2 linked regions of the Drosophila melanogaster genome follow. The protein of the gene in region 1 interacts with the protein of each later gene in a pairwise test. Each region holds a gene or a part of one and is shown on either strand. Other genes may lie near its edges.

What was found. The genes of interacting proteins can lie anywhere in the genome.
Region 2: the proteins of CG11350 (region 1) and CG8854 interact in a two-hybrid assay, tested with the Drosophila melanogaster proteins (one large-scale study listed by BioGRID).

The regions. Positions count from the first base shown.
Region 1 is NT_037436.4:4,478,647-4,485,891, forward strand, and holds CG11350 (uncharacterized protein), read left to right. Parts: upstream 1-4,162; 5' UTR 4,163-4,197; coding exon 4,198-4,200; intron 4,201-4,265; coding exon 4,266-5,633; 3' UTR 5,634-5,724; downstream 5,725-7,245. Other genes in the region: CG7465 (uncharacterized protein), read left to right, coding at 1,685-1,687, 1,767-2,729; CG13722 (uncharacterized protein), read right to left, coding at 6,763-7,245.
Region 2 is NT_033778.4:12,222,875-12,233,305, reverse strand, and holds CG8854 (uncharacterized protein), read left to right. Parts: upstream 1-3,995; 5' UTR 3,996-4,198; intron 4,199-6,459; exon of another isoform or gene 6,460-6,961; 5' UTR 6,962-6,962; coding exon 6,963-7,602; intron 7,603-8,061; coding exon 8,062-8,600; 3' UTR 8,601-8,845; downstream 8,846-10,431.

The DNA.
Region 1 (7,245 bases):
TTCATCTAAAACTTCGGGCAACCCCATCGATCATGGCCTTGACTTTCACGGCTGTACTTTGACCCGAGTTATATAGCGATTTTTCGATGAATCGATTGGCGGTTGATTAGTCATCGTTTATCCTTCACTTTACGGAACCGATTAGTTCTTAGCACCTCTAACGAGCCTTGCTTCATGGCTATTTATTTTAGCTTCGATGTTGCAAATACACCAAATAAAGCATGTACTCCCCCTCTCCGCCAAAGTTAAACCATTAATCATTTGCTGCACTTTGACTCTTAACAAATTGATTAGCTTGACTTGATGGCCTGCCTTCTTTTTTTAAACGCATTAATATCTTCAATTTAATCATTCAATCCTATTTTATCAACTGGCGCATGCGTTTAAAATTAAACTAACTCATAAATAAGCGAAAATAAATACTCCTTATATGCAGGTGGAAACAGATTAACTTGATTTATTCGGACATCCCTTGCATGTCCATGTTTAATTTTGGAAACAATTGGTGAGAGGTTTTTAACCAGAAGTGACACAAAAAATCACTTGCAGATTAAATGTCACATCTGGATGATATTGAAAAATGCTTAAGCTGGGATTAAGTGTGCTGTGTCAACCAAATTGGTCGATTAATAATTATAAGAAAACATGTTTTTAAAAGTAAGCTGTACCTATTACGATTTCAAATCAATGTTTTATTAAAACTTAAATTTTATTTTTAAATAACAATTATATATTTTAGACATATCCATACTGTTGTCTTTTTTAATGTCAATAAATATTATTAGCCATTTCAAACTTAGTAATTGATAAGCGCGCATCCGCACAAAGCGGATTGTTCTTAGAATTCACAATGGGATCTTCTGAAGATCTCGTCATCCTATATCCGGCATTCGGTTTACAAACTTATACAATTCGTACGCATCAGGCATAATTATATCATATTTCCAAAAATTGAATGGCTCGCTTGGTCAGTTCCTATTTGTTGATTAATGAACGGCGAACGACATCGCCACAATGGGAAGAGGCTGCGATCGAAATAATCGACTTTTTGAGTGGCGATTCGGAAAGCTATTGAAGTGAGCGAATTTGATTGAAACATATAACTCATCATTTGAATTTATATCGAGCGCAATTCCAATAGCGGCTTGAATGAAACCAGGCAGGTGGAGCGAACACAAAGAGGTGTAAACAAGACGAGAGCCAAGTTAATACGGATATATGTATATGTTTATATATATTTGTATGTGAGTATCTTTGCGCGCTCGACTTGTCCAAAACGTTGATGTCCATCAAATCTTTTGCATATGATTAAATAAAACAATTAAGAGAATCCGTGCGAACGATTTTGGCCATTAAACATTTTTTTTTTAGCCATCAACTGCTCCGAAGCTATAGCTTGTGCGAATGTAAGCGTCGCAGTCGCCGTCTATCGTGTTGGCCAAGCTGCGTTTGAGCCGCAAAAGAGCGGCTTAGAACCCGTAGCTTAGCCAAACCAAAGCCGAAGTCGTGCGAATTTACAGACGCTTGCGCCGGCAGCGACGTCTTTTTGGGCAGAGGCGCAAAAAACGCCAGCTCTGTAATAGCCAGCGAAGAGCGGAGAATCTGTATAAATACCAAAAGGTTCTGCGTATTCCTCATTAGAGTTTCGGTTTTACTGCTGTGAACAAGCAACTCATCGGACAATATGGTACGATTCGACAATTTAGGAGCCATCGAATCGCCACTGAAGGACTAAACTAAACAAATTTCCCAACTGTCTCTTGCAGAAACTCTTCCTGGTCGCTTTTGCCGTGATCGCAGCCGTGGCTGCCGATGTCAGCCACCTGCCCTCCAACGAGTACCTGCCTCCCGTCCAGGAGCAGCAGATCATCGCCGGACCCAGCAACGAGTACCTGCCTCCCGTGCAGGCCGAGTCTGCCCCCGCCCATGAGCTGGCCGATGATGGCTACCGGTACAAGACCCACAAGCGCGTGGTGGTCCGCCGCCACCGCCGTGACGTCAACGAGCTCTTCAACGAGTACCTGCCCCCCTTCGCAGCTCCTTCCAACGAGTACCTGGCTCCTGCTGAGGGTGCTCCTGAGACCATCTTGGCCGATGATGGATACCGTTACAAGACCCACAAGCGCGTGGTAACCCGCCGTCACCGTCGTGATGTGAGCCACTTGCCCTCCAACGAGTACCTGCCCCCAGTCCAGGCTGCTGCTCCTTCCAACGAGTATCTGCCCCCAGTGTCCGCCCCCGTCCAGGTTGCTGCCCCAGCTCCCGCTCCAGTTCAGATCGCCGCCCCTGTCCAGCTGGCCGCCCCCGCTCCTGTCGTGGTTGAGGCTGAGCCCGCCCATGAGCTGGCCGATGACGGTTACCGTTACAAGACCCATCGTCGCGTTGTTTACCGCCGCCACCGCCGTGACGTCAACGAGCTCTCCAACGAGTACCTGCCCCCCTTCGCAGCTCCTTCCAACGAGTACCTGGCTCCCGCTGAGACTGCTCCTGAGACCGACTTGGCCGTTGATGGATACCGCTACAAGACCCACAAGCGCGTGGTAACCCGCCGTCACCGTCGTGATGTGAACGAGCTCTCCAACGAGTACTTGCCTCCCGTGCAGTCTGCTCCCTCTGCCGAGTACCTTGCCCCCCAGGAAAACACCGTCGAGGCGGCTCCCGCCCATGTCCTGGCTGATGATGGATACGTCTACAAGACCCACAAGCGCGTTGTGTTGCGCCGCCACTAAATCATCCGATAAAGGCTTCACTAGGTGATCGAATTGTGCTCATTTTTGAGTGCAGACCCTACTATTAGAATACCTCTTTTTCATTCAAATACAATAATACGATAACGAATCCATACATTCAGCTCTTTTTAATTTTATTATGTTGGGTGTACGAGCTGGGTGATAAAAGGTTATATGTATAGAATTGACTGAAGGAGGAATATATTCGGATAAAACATAAATCTTTGCGGATAATATATAAACCAGAGAATAATAAAAAACGACAAAGTTTTTAAACATGTATTAACCTATTTAAAAATAATAATTTAATGTAATAATATAAAAAGGTTTTAGGGCTAGAATATATTCATTATTTCACGATCTAATTATACACATAAGAACGTGGGATTAGAGAAGCAATATACACTTGACACATAATCGAAATTGAAATCTATTTATGCCGAAGCTTCCGCAATCTCATCTTCAAAAAGTTCAAGCCTGCTTAACGCTTTTAGACCATTTACCTACAAAAGTAAGGGTATGTTAACTTTCTTGGATGGTGTGTCTTTTTAATATGCCGTTATTAATTTAATAGGTTTTTATGACCTAAACGCTTATGTAATTTATTAAAATGTTATTTTATAGTGGATATATTATTTATATACGATTTGCAATTAAATATAGAAACGTTTTGTTAGCAGAATCTAGTTCGAGGAATAGAATTAATTACCCCGTTTTATTAATGTTTTCCTTCGACTCTTCATAAAAGGTAATTTTTCCAAAAGTGTATTCAGTTCATTTTGTTCAGGTTTTCTTTCAGCCGGTGATATACAATCGCTTTCGACAGTCACATCTATGTATTGTTTCGGCATTGAGGTCGTGATTTATTTCCGCAATTTGATTGCTTTTTCGGCAGTCATTTCGCTTCTTACCAACTGTTTTTAGCCTTTTCTCCGCTCCGCTATCGAACATCTGCTTTTATTACCCGAAGTCATAGAACCCGATTAGTACCAGTTGATTAAGCCACAATATAATTATCGACAATTAAGCAAATTGAGCTGGGGTGGGTCGGAATTGGGAATCGAAATTGGCACGCGTTTGGTCTGGGAGAAATTGGCAAGTGCGGATAGGGGAACAATGGAACCTGATCTTGGCCACTAAGTATTAACGAAATATACTTAAAATATTAAGTGGCCGTTTGGATGATTTGGCGGTTAGGCCGGGGGTGAAAGGGGGACTCCCAAATCGTGGCTCATGATCTCGCTGGAGTTGAGCAGAGCGCAAAACCCGTTGCAAACCTGCTTGCAAAACTATAATGGATATGTTTTGGCGGTGTCACTAAATACAAATTCATAAATTAAATAGTCAAATGCAAATTTCTCGCCGCAGGCCGGTGATTAGAATCATATAAATAAGCCGCAGAACATTGTCTAAGGCATCACTTCCACTTGCACTCTCCGTTCAACTGGACAGCCGAGCACCCAGCAAAATGGTATTAACCAGGAACGGTGCGCCATTAGGATAATCAGCTAATATGTGCCATTTTCTCCATTGCAGAAATTCTTCTTGTTCTGCGCCTTCATCGCCGCCGTGGCCGCTGATGTCAGCCACCTGCCATCTAGCCAGTACCTGCCCCCCGGCCGTGGAGCAGCATCGGCTCCCGTGGCTTCCTACTCTGCTCCTTCCCAGAGCTACAGCGTAGAGGCCTCGGCCCCAGTTGCCTCCTACTCTGCTCCCGTTGAGTCCAGCTACTCCGTTGCTGCTTCTGCTCCAGCGGTGTCTTATGCTGCTCCAGCTGTGTCCTACGCCGCTCCCGCCCAGAGCTACTCTGCTCCTGCTGCCACCTACACTGCTGCTGCTTCTGCCCCAGCTGTGTCCTACGCCGCTCCTGCCCAAAGCTACTCTGCTCCTGCTGCCACCTACACTGCTGCTGCTTCTGCCCCAGCTGTGTCCTACGCCGCTCCTGCCCAGAGCTACTCTGCTCCTGCTGCCACCTACACTGCTGCTGCTTCTGCCCCAGCTGTGACCTACGCTGCTCCTGCTCAGACCTACACCGCTGCCGCTTCCGCCCCAGCTGTGTCCTACTCCGCTCCCGCTGAGTCTTACGAGACCGCTGCCTCTGAGCCCGCCCACACCTTCTCGGCCAACGATGGATACCGCTACAAGACCCACAAGCGCGTGGTCCTTCGCCGTCATCGTCGTGGCGTGCCCTCCAACGACTACCTGCCCCCCTTCCAGGGAGCCGCTTCTGCCCCAACCAGTGAGTACCTGCCCCCAGCAGCTTCCGCCCCCGCTCCAGTCTACCAGAGCGCTGCCTCTGCCCCAGCTGTGTCCTACGCCGCTCCCGCCCAGACCTATTCCGCACCTGCTGTCTCCTACGCCGAGCCCGCCGAGAGCTACGAAACCGCTGCTTCTGCTCCTGCCCACTCCTTCTCCTCCAACGATGGATACCGCTACAAGACCCACAAGCGTGTGGTGCTCCGCCGTCACCGTCGTGATGTGAGCCACCTGCCTTCCAACGATTACCTGCCTCCAGCAGCCTCTGCCCCAGCTCCAGTGTACTCCGCCCCCGCTCAGAGCTACTCTGCTCCCGCTGCCACCTACACCGCTGCTGCCTCCGCCCCAGCTGTGTCCTACGCCGCACCTGCCCAGAGCTACTCTGCTCCTGCTGCCACCTACACCGCTGCTGCTTCCGCTCCAGCTGTCTCCTACTCTGCTCCCTCTCAGAGCTACTCTGCTCCCGAGTACTACAGCGGTGCCGCTTCCGCCCCAGCTGTCTCCTACTCCGCCCCAGCTGCTTCCTACTCTGCCCCAGCTGAGAGCTACGAGACCGCCGCCTCTGAGCCCGCCCACTCCTTCTCCTCCAACGATGGATACCGCTACAAGACCCAGCGTCGCGTGGTCCTCCGCCGTCACCGTTACTAGAGGCTCCAACGAACCCCCAGCGAACCGAGCCAAATCCTGTTATTTGACTCACGGGTTTCATCTGGGAAACGAAATTAATAAATTCATAAATAAAAAAAATATTGAAAAATACTTCCACTGCCTGATTAATTAATCGACTAACAGGAAACCCCATTGACGGGAGCCCCCTTATTTGCCTAACAATAATATTGCATAATAGAATAAGAAGTTTTGGCCACTAAAGCCAATGATTATCAGGCATTAATACCGAGCTGTCGTCAAGCGGAGACGATACAGCAACTGAAAAAACTAGTTCAAATCGAGATGCGGAAACTCGTTTAATGCTTCGAAATTAATTTTTTGTTCAGCAAGTGCATTGTCATCTGAAGCTTCAAGTTCAAAGTCAACCATAAGAAAATTCGAGGCATACTTTTTGGCCTTTGTAAGATTTATATGGATGTAGTAAGCATATAGTAAGTGTATATTTATGTAGTAAGTCCCTCGCGGCAGACTACAGAGTTAAAAAAAACCCAGTGAATTATGGATCTATTTTGTAAGGCAGACTTATTAAAAAATTTATCTTAGTAATATAAAAAGCCTCAATGTATAGCATTATATCCGTATCACAGAAAGACTTTTGTTATTCCGGCTAAAAAATAGCAGGTTGAATGATTCCAATGCTATCGCGTTACCGAAGTTTGAGCAGAATTATTAATTTCTTGTTGCCCAAATGTACTCTACTTTTCGGCAAGCCAGCACTATAAACTGCGATGTCTAAAAGTATGTGATTCGACCGAATTTTTAGTTTATTCTAGATGGGATCTGCTGTTTCACTCTAAGACTAGACGTCTTACCCTTCGACACACTGAAAGAAAACAGTAAGAACATAACATTCACATTGTCATTTTTAATTCGGCAGCATTGCGTAATCGTTAAAACATAAGTTTTAAAAACATATTTTAATGACTAAGTTCGATTGGAGATTCCGCAGGCAAGATCCCCGGTAAATCATTAATAATAGTTATTAAATAAAATATTACAGTAGACTACAATTATTCAATTTCGTACGTTCCTAAGGATCACTATGCGCACACAGAGGCAATTGTGTCATTTAATCAGTGATGAGAGGGCCAATCGACGGATGAGTTATTCAAAAGTCGAATGCGATGGCCGGCTTCGGGTAGGAATAGCCCGCCGACTTGGGAGCGGGTGGGGGAAATGGAATGACTGGCTTAGGGTAGTCGTAACCCTGCTTCACCTGAGGGGGTGGAAGGTACTTGGGAGTGGGCGGGCTGGTTGGCACAACGGGTGGAATGTACTTCTGGGGGGGATTCGTGGGTGGGGGGAATGGAATGGCGGGCTTGGGATAGTCATAGCCCTGCTTAACTTGAGGTGGAGGAAGGTACTTGGATGTGGGAGGAGGTGGAGGTGGTGCTTGTGTTGTGGTCACTGGTGGCAAGTACTTCTGCGGTGGGGCAGTGGGTGGCGGGAATGGAATGGCGGGCTTGGGATAGTCATAGCCCTGCTTAACTTGAGGTGGAGGAAGGTACTTGGATGTGGGAGGAGGTGGAGGTGGTGCTTGTGTTGTGGTCACTGGTGGCAAGTACTTCTGCGGTGGGGCAGTGGGTGGCGG
Region 2 (10,431 bases), on another chromosome or scaffold:
CATATGTAGGTACAAAAGTATCTCGATGCCAGTGCCATGTATCTTGTGCCGACACGGAAGTGCGGGAAAAAATGTTTCGTTACTTGGCCTAAACAAAACAATGCACAATGTACTCACGCGCAGTTGTTTTTTTTTTTTTGTTTCTCTTCCCCTCGCAATACGTTTTTGTATCTTGAACTTGAGGCATCATCGAACAAGATGTAGTATCTATGGGTGTATCCGCACTGCTTGTATGTGGGTTTTCTATCTTTGCAGGGGTGTTTTTGGGTGTGTTAGCTCGACGAAGAAAAACTGTTTTTGGAAGTGCTGATGCGAAGAACAATTCCTACAGCAGTGAGTAATAGTTGTCATGCTAAGCTAATGATGAACAACTTTAATAGGAAATCAATTGGCAGCTGTCAGTTGTCATATTTAAAGTCTACCTAAAAAGAATGAAAGCTACTTTTACTTTCTACCAGAAGTTAAGTTTGCATATGAGATGAAACGGCACTCGACCAAACTTTGATATGCTGCCTTAAATCTACTTCTATTAATATATTCACTAAAAAAAATCCCCTTGATAAGAGAAGATGCCTAAAGCAACATAAGCACAAGCAAAATCCGCAAAAACAATAATCGAGAAAAGGCAGCAACTATTTTGGCCAAATTATGTCAGAGTTGCCTCCAAAGATGTCTAGCTCTCGTGATGTCTACGATTTTGCTGATTTTTTTTTCTGAGTTTTACACACATACGTGAATTTTTGTTAAGATGATTTGTGCCAGTGCCACTTGAACTGTGCGTCAGCAGTTGATTGAGGCAGATTCGAGCCCGAGATGAAGACGATCTCGAAGATGAAGATGAAGGCGATTGAGGCGATGGAGGTGATGCCTGGCCCTCGGCATGTCAGATGTCGATGGTGATGATGCTGCTGCTGATGTTCATGTAGTTCGTCTTTTATCTTTTGGCTTTTTGTTGCCCCAATGTCTGCCTGCAGTACTAGGCATTATTGCATCATCAAGCAGATTGAGCAATGAGTGGATTTAAATACAAATTTAATGGTTTCAGTTATGGCCCATTGTGTTGGGACGGGGTCGTTAAACCGTAGTCGAAAAGTGGCTTATCGATACGATTTATGGCTGAGAACAAATATTGCCAACTGATAATAAATCAAAATAATTGTAAAATTATGAAATATTAACTGTGTCAAATATAAACACGTTTTAATTTGGTTAAAACGCATTGCTATGTTTTTTTTTTTTTGAAGGAAATGAATGTAATCCTCAATTTTATCTTTTACAGCTTAGTAGATTTGATGAGCTGAACAAATTTATGAAATTCTTTTGGGCTCTCATATTTCGGCTTAAATGATTAATTTACGTTTGAATAATTCACTTAAAGATGGATGTTGGGAAAGGGCTTCTTACATACTGCCAATTGTACCGAGTTTGGAAAAGGAACCACAAAAAAGCGTTTTGCTGACACACCAAATGGGAAGCACACAATTACCGGCCATATTTCTTCCCTGTGTTTCTCTGCCATTCGGTCGCTTTCCTTTTGTGGGCCGAACACGTGCAAAATGTCCAACACGGTGGCCAAATGGGGCCAGAGTAGCAAAAACGCCATAAATGCCCAGGTCCACTTACAATTATTGCCCCAATGGAGGGAGTCGTCGGTGAGTTGCAAAAAAAAAGAAAGAAAAAAAAACAAAAAAGGCCGCTGCCACAGAGGCTGCCCCAGCTATGAAAAATCGAAAGTGGCAAGCCGAGTGACAAGCGTAGAGCACAGCGGTAAAAAGAGTCATGTGCTATAGGCTATAGCCATTCGATTCGATTCGGTTTAGATTCGGATTTGGATTGGTAGATAGGTATAGAGGTATTGGTACTGGTACTGCGACTGGTATTGGGCTTGGGTGCAGCGCAATCTGCGACTCAGCATCTGTAATGCTCGCTGCAGCTGTTGCCAATTCACATTGGTTGTGGTAATCGTAATAACCAAAAGAAACTGAAGAAATCATAAAACGTTGAAAGATGCATAGTATCACTCACTTATAAGTGTAAGGAATTCAAAGAATTAAGCTATATTACATGTAAATAGTTCTTCATTACTCATGCAAGATGTTTTCATATCTTTAGGATACATAGTATATCTTTTTTTGATGGCAAGCTCTATGGCAGTACAATTCGATATGAGGCCTACAATATCGATTGAAATCAGATATATGTACTCCTCAATCATTGATGTTACTACTTGTGCAATATTGTTGCCAATATGAAATAGCTTTGCAGTTTTTCCTTGCCATCACTAAGAGCATGTTGCAATGTCGCCGGTGCGAAGTATCTGATAGATAGATACCGACCGAAAGAGCCGAGCAAACACACACACATACGTATTGGAATTGGAGCAGAGATCAACGAGTCTGCCGCCAGTCAAAGGCAAACATCTGGTTGCGGCACCGCTCCCTTACCACCCCCTTACCATTACCGGAAAATGCATCACCACCGCCCCCCGCTGGGTGGCCAGGTGCAGCCGGTTTCCTGTGCGTTGGCAACGTGTGCTGCCCAAGTCCCAAAACGACGTTCGCCATTAAAAGCGGCAAATTGCTCTGGCTCCAGAGCCTCTGAATGGGTCCAAATAGTGCATATGTACCTATATTGGGGTTGGGATTCTACGGCAAGGAATGTAGGCCTGATGAACTGCAGGCTGGCTAAATGAACTCAATGGATGGATGGATGCCCGGTGAAGGCAACAATTTTCGAAGCTCTCGTGACCAGAAATCCAAATAACATTCGAAAGCTGAATGGCATGAGCTTGCAAGACATTTATAGATATATTTCTAAAGATATATATGTATATAAATACTAACATATGATAGGAATTTATATTTTTAAATAATTTAAGAAGCATAACATCTGCGGTCGCTGAGATTTCGCAAATCCTTTAAAATTCCCCAAACAATTATTTGTTAATTGCCTGCTTTTTTATCTGGTGACACATCTGACCACAAAGTGTGGCCCACTTGAGCTGGCTTAATTGAATTGCTTTTGGTTTGGTCTATGGGCCATCAATTGATTGTTTGCACTCGACACTCACCGCAATAGGAAATAATAACTGACCTGACTGAATAAACACCATAAATATCGGCACGACTTTGGGGATACCACACAAAAAACCAACCGCCACCGCACTGAAAGTGAAAGCTTTTTTTAAGGTTTTTTCAAACAATTAATTTTATAAATACCTTTTGGTAGCTAACAAAAAAAACTGCATAAATTATTTGGGCTTTAGCTGCTGGAGATGGGAAAAGTCTCGAATGAGAAATGATGCTCATCACCTGTTTTCTTTTGATGAATTCAAAGGCGGCGCACATTGCCCCACCCGAATGTCGGTTCAAGTTGAAGTTGAAGTTGAAGTGATGCAATTTCTCTCAGCAGCGATTTCAATTTCTTTCCGCAAGTGAAAAAGACTTGAACTTGGCAGCTGCTTTTTTTTTTAAACCACTTACTCTAGCAACGGCTATGGTCACTATGCGGTTAAGTTGAATGAGTTTCGAAAATGGGTGTAATATATGTTGGGTATGAATCAGCTTCTTTTCCTAAATGATGACAGTTCAAATTACAATTTCTACTTTTTAACTGAGTTTTTAGATACATTTCTTTAGAGCAACTTCAATTCGTTGTGTAATGAAGCCCAGTTTTGCTTACATATCTATGGCATTTCCCTGGCGCAGCCGCATTTCAACGACTCTCAAATTTGCATATCAATGTGACTTTGAGTAGCTCTGCGACTGTGACATAACCACCTGCTGTCATTTTAATTTACTGCTAATTAATTTACAGGCCGGCCGAAATTACATCTAGCCAAAGACATAAAGACTGAATGGGATCTCTGATTAATTTTGATGGAAATTGGCAAGCGAACATGTGAGGTGAGCTCAGACCGAGGATCAAACCCGTTCGAACATGCTGGCAGAGAAGCGCCAAAGACTTGTAACTTGGCTCAAACCGTTGGCCAAAACAGTTGAGCGCCGGTCGAAGAAGCGAACACAACGCGGTTGCGCATGCGCGTAGATCATGTGCCGATCGGACGTGTTTGAAATTTACAATTCACAAATTGGCTAAAAGAGCGTTCTATAACCATAAAAGTGCTCTGTGACAAGTGACCGACGGCATAAAACAAATTCAAATTTATAACCAACACCAAAACCAAATAAATAACAAGGTGAATGAAACTGCCCAGAAAACTGTGTCAAAAGCAAAGAAAGTTGCTATTTTTTTAGTGTGGGCAGGCTGCCAAGTATCTTTTTAGGTGTATCTTCAGCTCCGTCTGATGTTCGTTTTCAATCTTTTGCGGGCTTGTCGAGATTGAGTGATCATCTGCGTGGGTCTGTGCCACATAAATTCGAATGCATCTCAGGTGTAATGTAATGATCACCATTTTAGGGCACTACGCCCAGGTATGCGAGAGAACTGTTCTTCTCAGGTGATTCATGATAAAAACTTCTGCTCGTCTCGCATACTTTTTTCAAAGGTGCGGCAGAAGATGTGACTTTTTAAATTCATTTTACCCTGCTCTCGATTGGTTTGATGTAAATCCACAATTGGGCATGATATCACTCGAATAAATATTTATATATTTGAATACTTAGCAAGGTCGATTGGCATTTGGCAAACGTGTTTCCAGTTATTTTGCATTATAATCCGATGTCGAAATATTTACCTTACCTTTGCATAATTTGTGCTGAATGAGACATGGACAGGTTGTTAATTATTACCTTAATTGAAATATTCGGAGAAAACCAAAGTCAATCGAATAATATTATGGAGGTGGGCAAAATTTTGAGTAGTAAAATATAAATAGTGGAATATCTTACCAGTTAATATTTATAAAGAGTGTTTGTGGTTGCTACCTACAAACCTACATTTATCTTAAATAAGTTTATTTTTAGTATACTTAAATTTAATCTTTATTTAAATATCCCATTACGGTCATCCGTCTTAATAGCATTTAATAGCCCGGATTTGCACAAATATTGATAGTTGTCTTTTATTTTAAGCCTAACTCAGGTGGCCAAAACCACTATCAATCACCAAACACGCTAACAAGCCCGACTGATTACACAAAGTAACTCGACGCGAACTTGTCACATTTGATATGCAAATGGCCAGAAGCCAAAGTCAAAGCGGCACTTTACGCTGAAATGAATCTGAATCCGAAATTGAATCTGTATCTGAGGTTGACCGGGGCAATCAGCCAACCGCAGTGAAGGAGTGGAAGTGCCGTCCGAAGATGCCAATTAATTAACAGGGTCTTAGGGGTTTTAAGTGGTTCCATATCCACGAATGTGTTTGCATATTCAACTCTAATTGCGTCTAAACACTGCGCATGCAATTAACTTTTCACGGTAAAGGGCCACGTGGCGCATACGTAATGCGATTTTCACCCACCAAGAACATTTATTATTCTTATCAATTTATTCATCAGTTATCTAGAATAATAACTGGAATATCAAGTATAGAGTGCAGAATTTGTATGCCTACATTGTTTGTTTTGGATTGACTACATTTTGGAGTTCCTTTAAATAATAAATAGCTTAAAAAACAAGCCCTAAACCATTTTCACTCGCGTGCAAATCACTGAAAGTGCATTCAGATGGGCTTCTGTGTGCATATTTTGTTTTGTTTGGATATATGCCATAAAAAGTTTATAGACCCTGAAAGATACACAGATAAACGATTTCATTTGCGTGTCACAGCCAAGTCACGTTGTTTTATTTTTTTTTCGCGGTACAGTTTGTGTATTTTATAAAAAATATATTCCCATCGGAAACCTTTTTTCTTGATCAGGCCATACAAATGTTAATCGATAACCGAAGAGATTAAAACAAACCAGGCAAAAACAAAACCAACTCAACATTTTTATGCAAATGCACAAATCACAAATGCCTCGAAAAGATTGCGCAAAACCCTTTTTTGAAATGGGCGTTTTATATTGTAGAAATAATTAAGGGGAAAACCCCGGAGAAAACCAAAAGCCTATGTAAAATATCAGCCGAAAAATTTGCCTAAAAATTTAATTTAATATTTTTTAAGGTATTTTTTTTAACTTTGCGGAAACAGATGCATTAATATTAATATTTTCTGTGCCCATTCATGCTTTTCATTCAGATTTCGGTAGAGATTTAATCGAATGAAAGAAATGTGAACCGTTTTTCGCTTATTACATGTTGATATTGTCTTTTATGTTAAATAAACTCTGAAATGAATATGCAGTTAAAAAAAAACTGAACGTTTTTCATTTATTTAGTTTTACAATGGAAAACTCGGTGTATTTTAATTCCATTTCGATGGCACTGCAACTGACAAGCCTGATCGAAAATCTAGTTAACCTTCTCGACAAAATGGAAATTTGTGTATTTTTTGCATGGCACTTATTCCACTTGATTTTGTATCGCATATTTTTATAAATTTATACAGTTGCCGACGGGCTCCATTTCAGATTTTAATTAAATAGTTTTTTGTTTTTTTAATGAAATTTGATAAGTAAAGCAATTTGTTTTCGATGCCCGAAACGGGTGGATGGGTTTTTTGTTAGTTTTCCTTTGACGTAAACCAGTCTGTTGGCTAATGGAATATCTCGGCTTATTGGCAATTGGAATGCCAATTGATTGGCCATGCTAAGTTATGCAGATCCATAAACCGGCTAATGGTTGCAATCTGAAGTCGTGAAGTGTAACACCTGCAAAAGATATAGCCAAGCCGGTGTGCAATTTTAAGCCGGCATTAATGCCGCGGAAAATTCGCGGCCAACGCCGAAGAACGGGTTCGATTCGTTGACGGAAGAGTTTTCAGTATTGGCCACAAAGTGCGTTGCGTAAGCAACCAGTTGATGCACTTGCTCATGGCTTTCCCACACCACGCGCACCATCTCCGCATTTTCCCAACCAATATTTATGTATTTTTTCTTTGCCTTTTTTTCTTACAGCATGCGTGAACGCAGTCAAACGACCCCAAGAAGGCGACGAGCCGGTCCAAAACAGGCCTTACCTGGTGGCAGCTCCTCGGAGGGAGTGGGCGCCCTGGAATCCCCCTATTATACCATTGACAACACGGAGGATATATATGGCACCACGCTGCTGCCCTCGCAGCGCTGCTATGTGGATCCCTGGGATCTGGAGAACTATGATTATGTTCGCAAGAAGATCGATGATGTCACCGGTGGCGGTGGTGGTGATGGTGATGGTGAGGCAATTGAACCTGCCTACGGAGGTGGTGGCAACTCGCTGACGACCAGTCCCACATACGGATACGGAGTGGGTGCCGCCGGTGCGGGTATGGGTGTGGGCATGTCGGCCACAATGCCACGCCCCCACACCCAAAGTCGCCGGGTGTCGCGTGCCCAGTGCCAACTTGAGTGCTGTGTGCCCCAAAGGACTCGTCGCCGTAGCCGCAGCGCTCGCAAGGAGCCACTCTATACGGCCAGGAGCGATATTTACGGTGTGCCCAGCCGCTATGAGGACTACATGGCCACCATGACCAGGCAGTTGCACCTGGACAACGGCGAGGATGAGGAGCCGGAAGATCTTTACGGCGAGGAGCAGCGGCAACTGTACAATGGCTTTGGAGGTGAGTGAAAAACGCAAATAGCAAATGCAAATTCGAAACCCCTTTAAAACTAGATTTTAATTTAAAATTCCTTTTGTTTCGTAATAACCAATTTATTTAGTTAGCTTTGTATGCAAATCACACAAATGCATTTAGATTTCATTTTCGATTCCATTTGATTGTTACAATTTACGCAGTGCGTCTTTTATGGCAATTCGATTAACGTTTAATTGCAAATCTCTGGCAAAATCATTGATTTTTGAGCTTGACTAATGAAATTTGATTTTCTGTACTTGGGGATCATTAATTACTTAGTATTTGTTATATATTTTGATTACTAATCCTTTTCAAACTATATGTAAGTATAAATGTTTTATTGATTTTAAACCCATCGAGTGCTTAAATATAAATGTAGCTGTTGTAAAATACCAAATGATTTTGATAGCTTTCACTAATGCCGTGTAATCTCACACGTTTCAGGCTTCTCCAGCACCAGTTCCACGGAGCATCCCTCCTCCATTGGCGATGAGCAGCCCGTTCTCCAACGACGCGCGGCCACGATGCAACGCCGCTCCGTGCCCAGCGAGATGCAGCGGAGCACCAACATGGTCGGCAGCTATGGAACTGCCCCCCATCCGCGGCGCAAGCGAAGCGGTAAGGCGGCGCCCATGGCCGCTCCGCCGCAGATCGATTTCCCCGCACCGCCGCCACTTTCGCCCGCCTACGACTACTGTAATCCCTATGCTTCACTGCCGTACTGCAGCATACCGGATTGCAGCGAATGCCAGCAGCAGATCTATGCCGCACCCTCCGCCCTCTACGGAACCATGGGCGGCTTGGTGGGTGGTGATGGCAGTCGGGTTAGGGGCTCATCGCCCCATCATTCCAGCGGTGGTGACTCGTCGCTCTACTCGGGAATTTACGCACGTAAATTCGGACTGAGCAAGAAGGGTCTACTGCAGATCGACTACTCATGCAGTTGGAACGATCTGGACAGGGTGATGCAGCGCCATTACTGAGATCCATGGGGCCGCATCCACGTGGATCTGGGATTTGGGTGCTTGGGTTAGGCTAACTACCAACACGTTTGCACCAATCGCGAACAGAAACCTTATTGTTATTTAAGTCATTTTGCATTACAGATACAAACACAAACACATACACACACACACACTGAAGACCAAATAACTGAAACATGTTTGTCGTAGATATATAGTGTTTTCATATTCATATTTACCGAATAAACATTTTGAAGTCAAGCATTAAGGATTTGTAGTTATTATTAAAACTTTCAAGGTATGAAAGTTTAAACTTGGCTATATGGAGAAGAGCTAATAGTTCTCAATAAAACTTAAAAGTAGAGTAAGACTGAACATAAGATAGTTTCTTTATTTCTTATAATTATAGATTTGTTCATAATATTAGCAAAGTTGAAGTCACTAATTAGGCAAAGCATTCAGAAACAAATAACTTGACTTGGTGACAAAGAAAAGTTCCTCTTTTTCCACTCTAATTAGTTGTGACGTCACTAGGCGAATGTTTCATGTTTGACAAAATGTTTGCGGGGGGAGAAATGAGAACACGGAAATGGTTTTAGCGCCGGACTTTGATGAATGTTTTGAGAATTGTCAAGCCTAAGTTAGTCGAACAAATGGCAAATGCGGCAGGTGTACGAACGAAATGGGAAATAAGTGACAGCAGGAAAGTTTTTAAAGCACACCTTTCGGTGTTGAATGGTGGAAAAATCCATTAAACTTTTCGCCAGCAAAGTGGGAAATGCAACTTCAGCTCGATTATCTCGGCCGGAGGTGCACAAATACATGGAGAGCGACCTGTTCAAAAGGGAAAATCAATAAGGTAAATAAAACGGAAAAGATTTTCCTCTATCTCCTTTGCTCTTGCCCCCTATTTCTCGCCATCCGCCCGCCTGCCCCCTTTGCCGCTGAATGCGATTTCAATTTCTCAATCCAATTTACCTTTGCAACACTGTATACACATCAGTACACAGACAAAAAATTTGTGTTGAAATGTATTTCAACTATAAAAAAGCAAAAAAAGGCAATATAAAACTTTAAAATCGTGTCATATTTTAAACATAACCATTAGAAAAATTTCCAAAAAAAACCTTTTTAAAATTTGATGGCAATTTGATATTTAAAAATATAAAGTATTATTATATATATAATATATTTTGGTTAATGCACATGCAAACCAGTAGTTCCTACGGAATTTTAAATAAAACAAAAGCAAATTTAAAAGCCGACTTTTTGTTTTCAGTGTAGCAATTTCAATACCAACACAAACACAAATACGAACCAAAGTACAAACACAAAGCACAAGTAAATCATAAAAAGCAGCAACAACAAGCATCTGCAAAGCGAAAATCTGAATGCACAAAAAGAAATGGGGGGTGGTGAAATGTTCCAAGTCGGATGGAAAAAAGAGACATAAAAAATGAGGAGCTAAGGTTTTTGCTATGCACATAAAAGCGCAAATATTTGCGCAACATTTTCGTCGTCGTCGTCGGCGATAAAAATCGAACAAGAAAAATATGCAAAAAGCTGAACAAGCCGGCGGGGAAATAAAAACGTCGCAGAAATAAGCCGAAGAATATAAAAAATATATATATGTATGTGTATATTAGTGTGGGTCCCTCTTTTTTACCGGGGATTTGCCTTTATTATTGTATAACGTCAAACATTTGCATGCGGCGACGCCTAAATGTATGCCACACTTTGTTCACCAGCTGCCACACCCCGTCGAAACCACCCCCCCCCCCTTGATCATCTTGCCCCCCACGACCACTTTTTGCCACTTTTTGCATTTGCATTTATGTGCGGCGCCAATTCG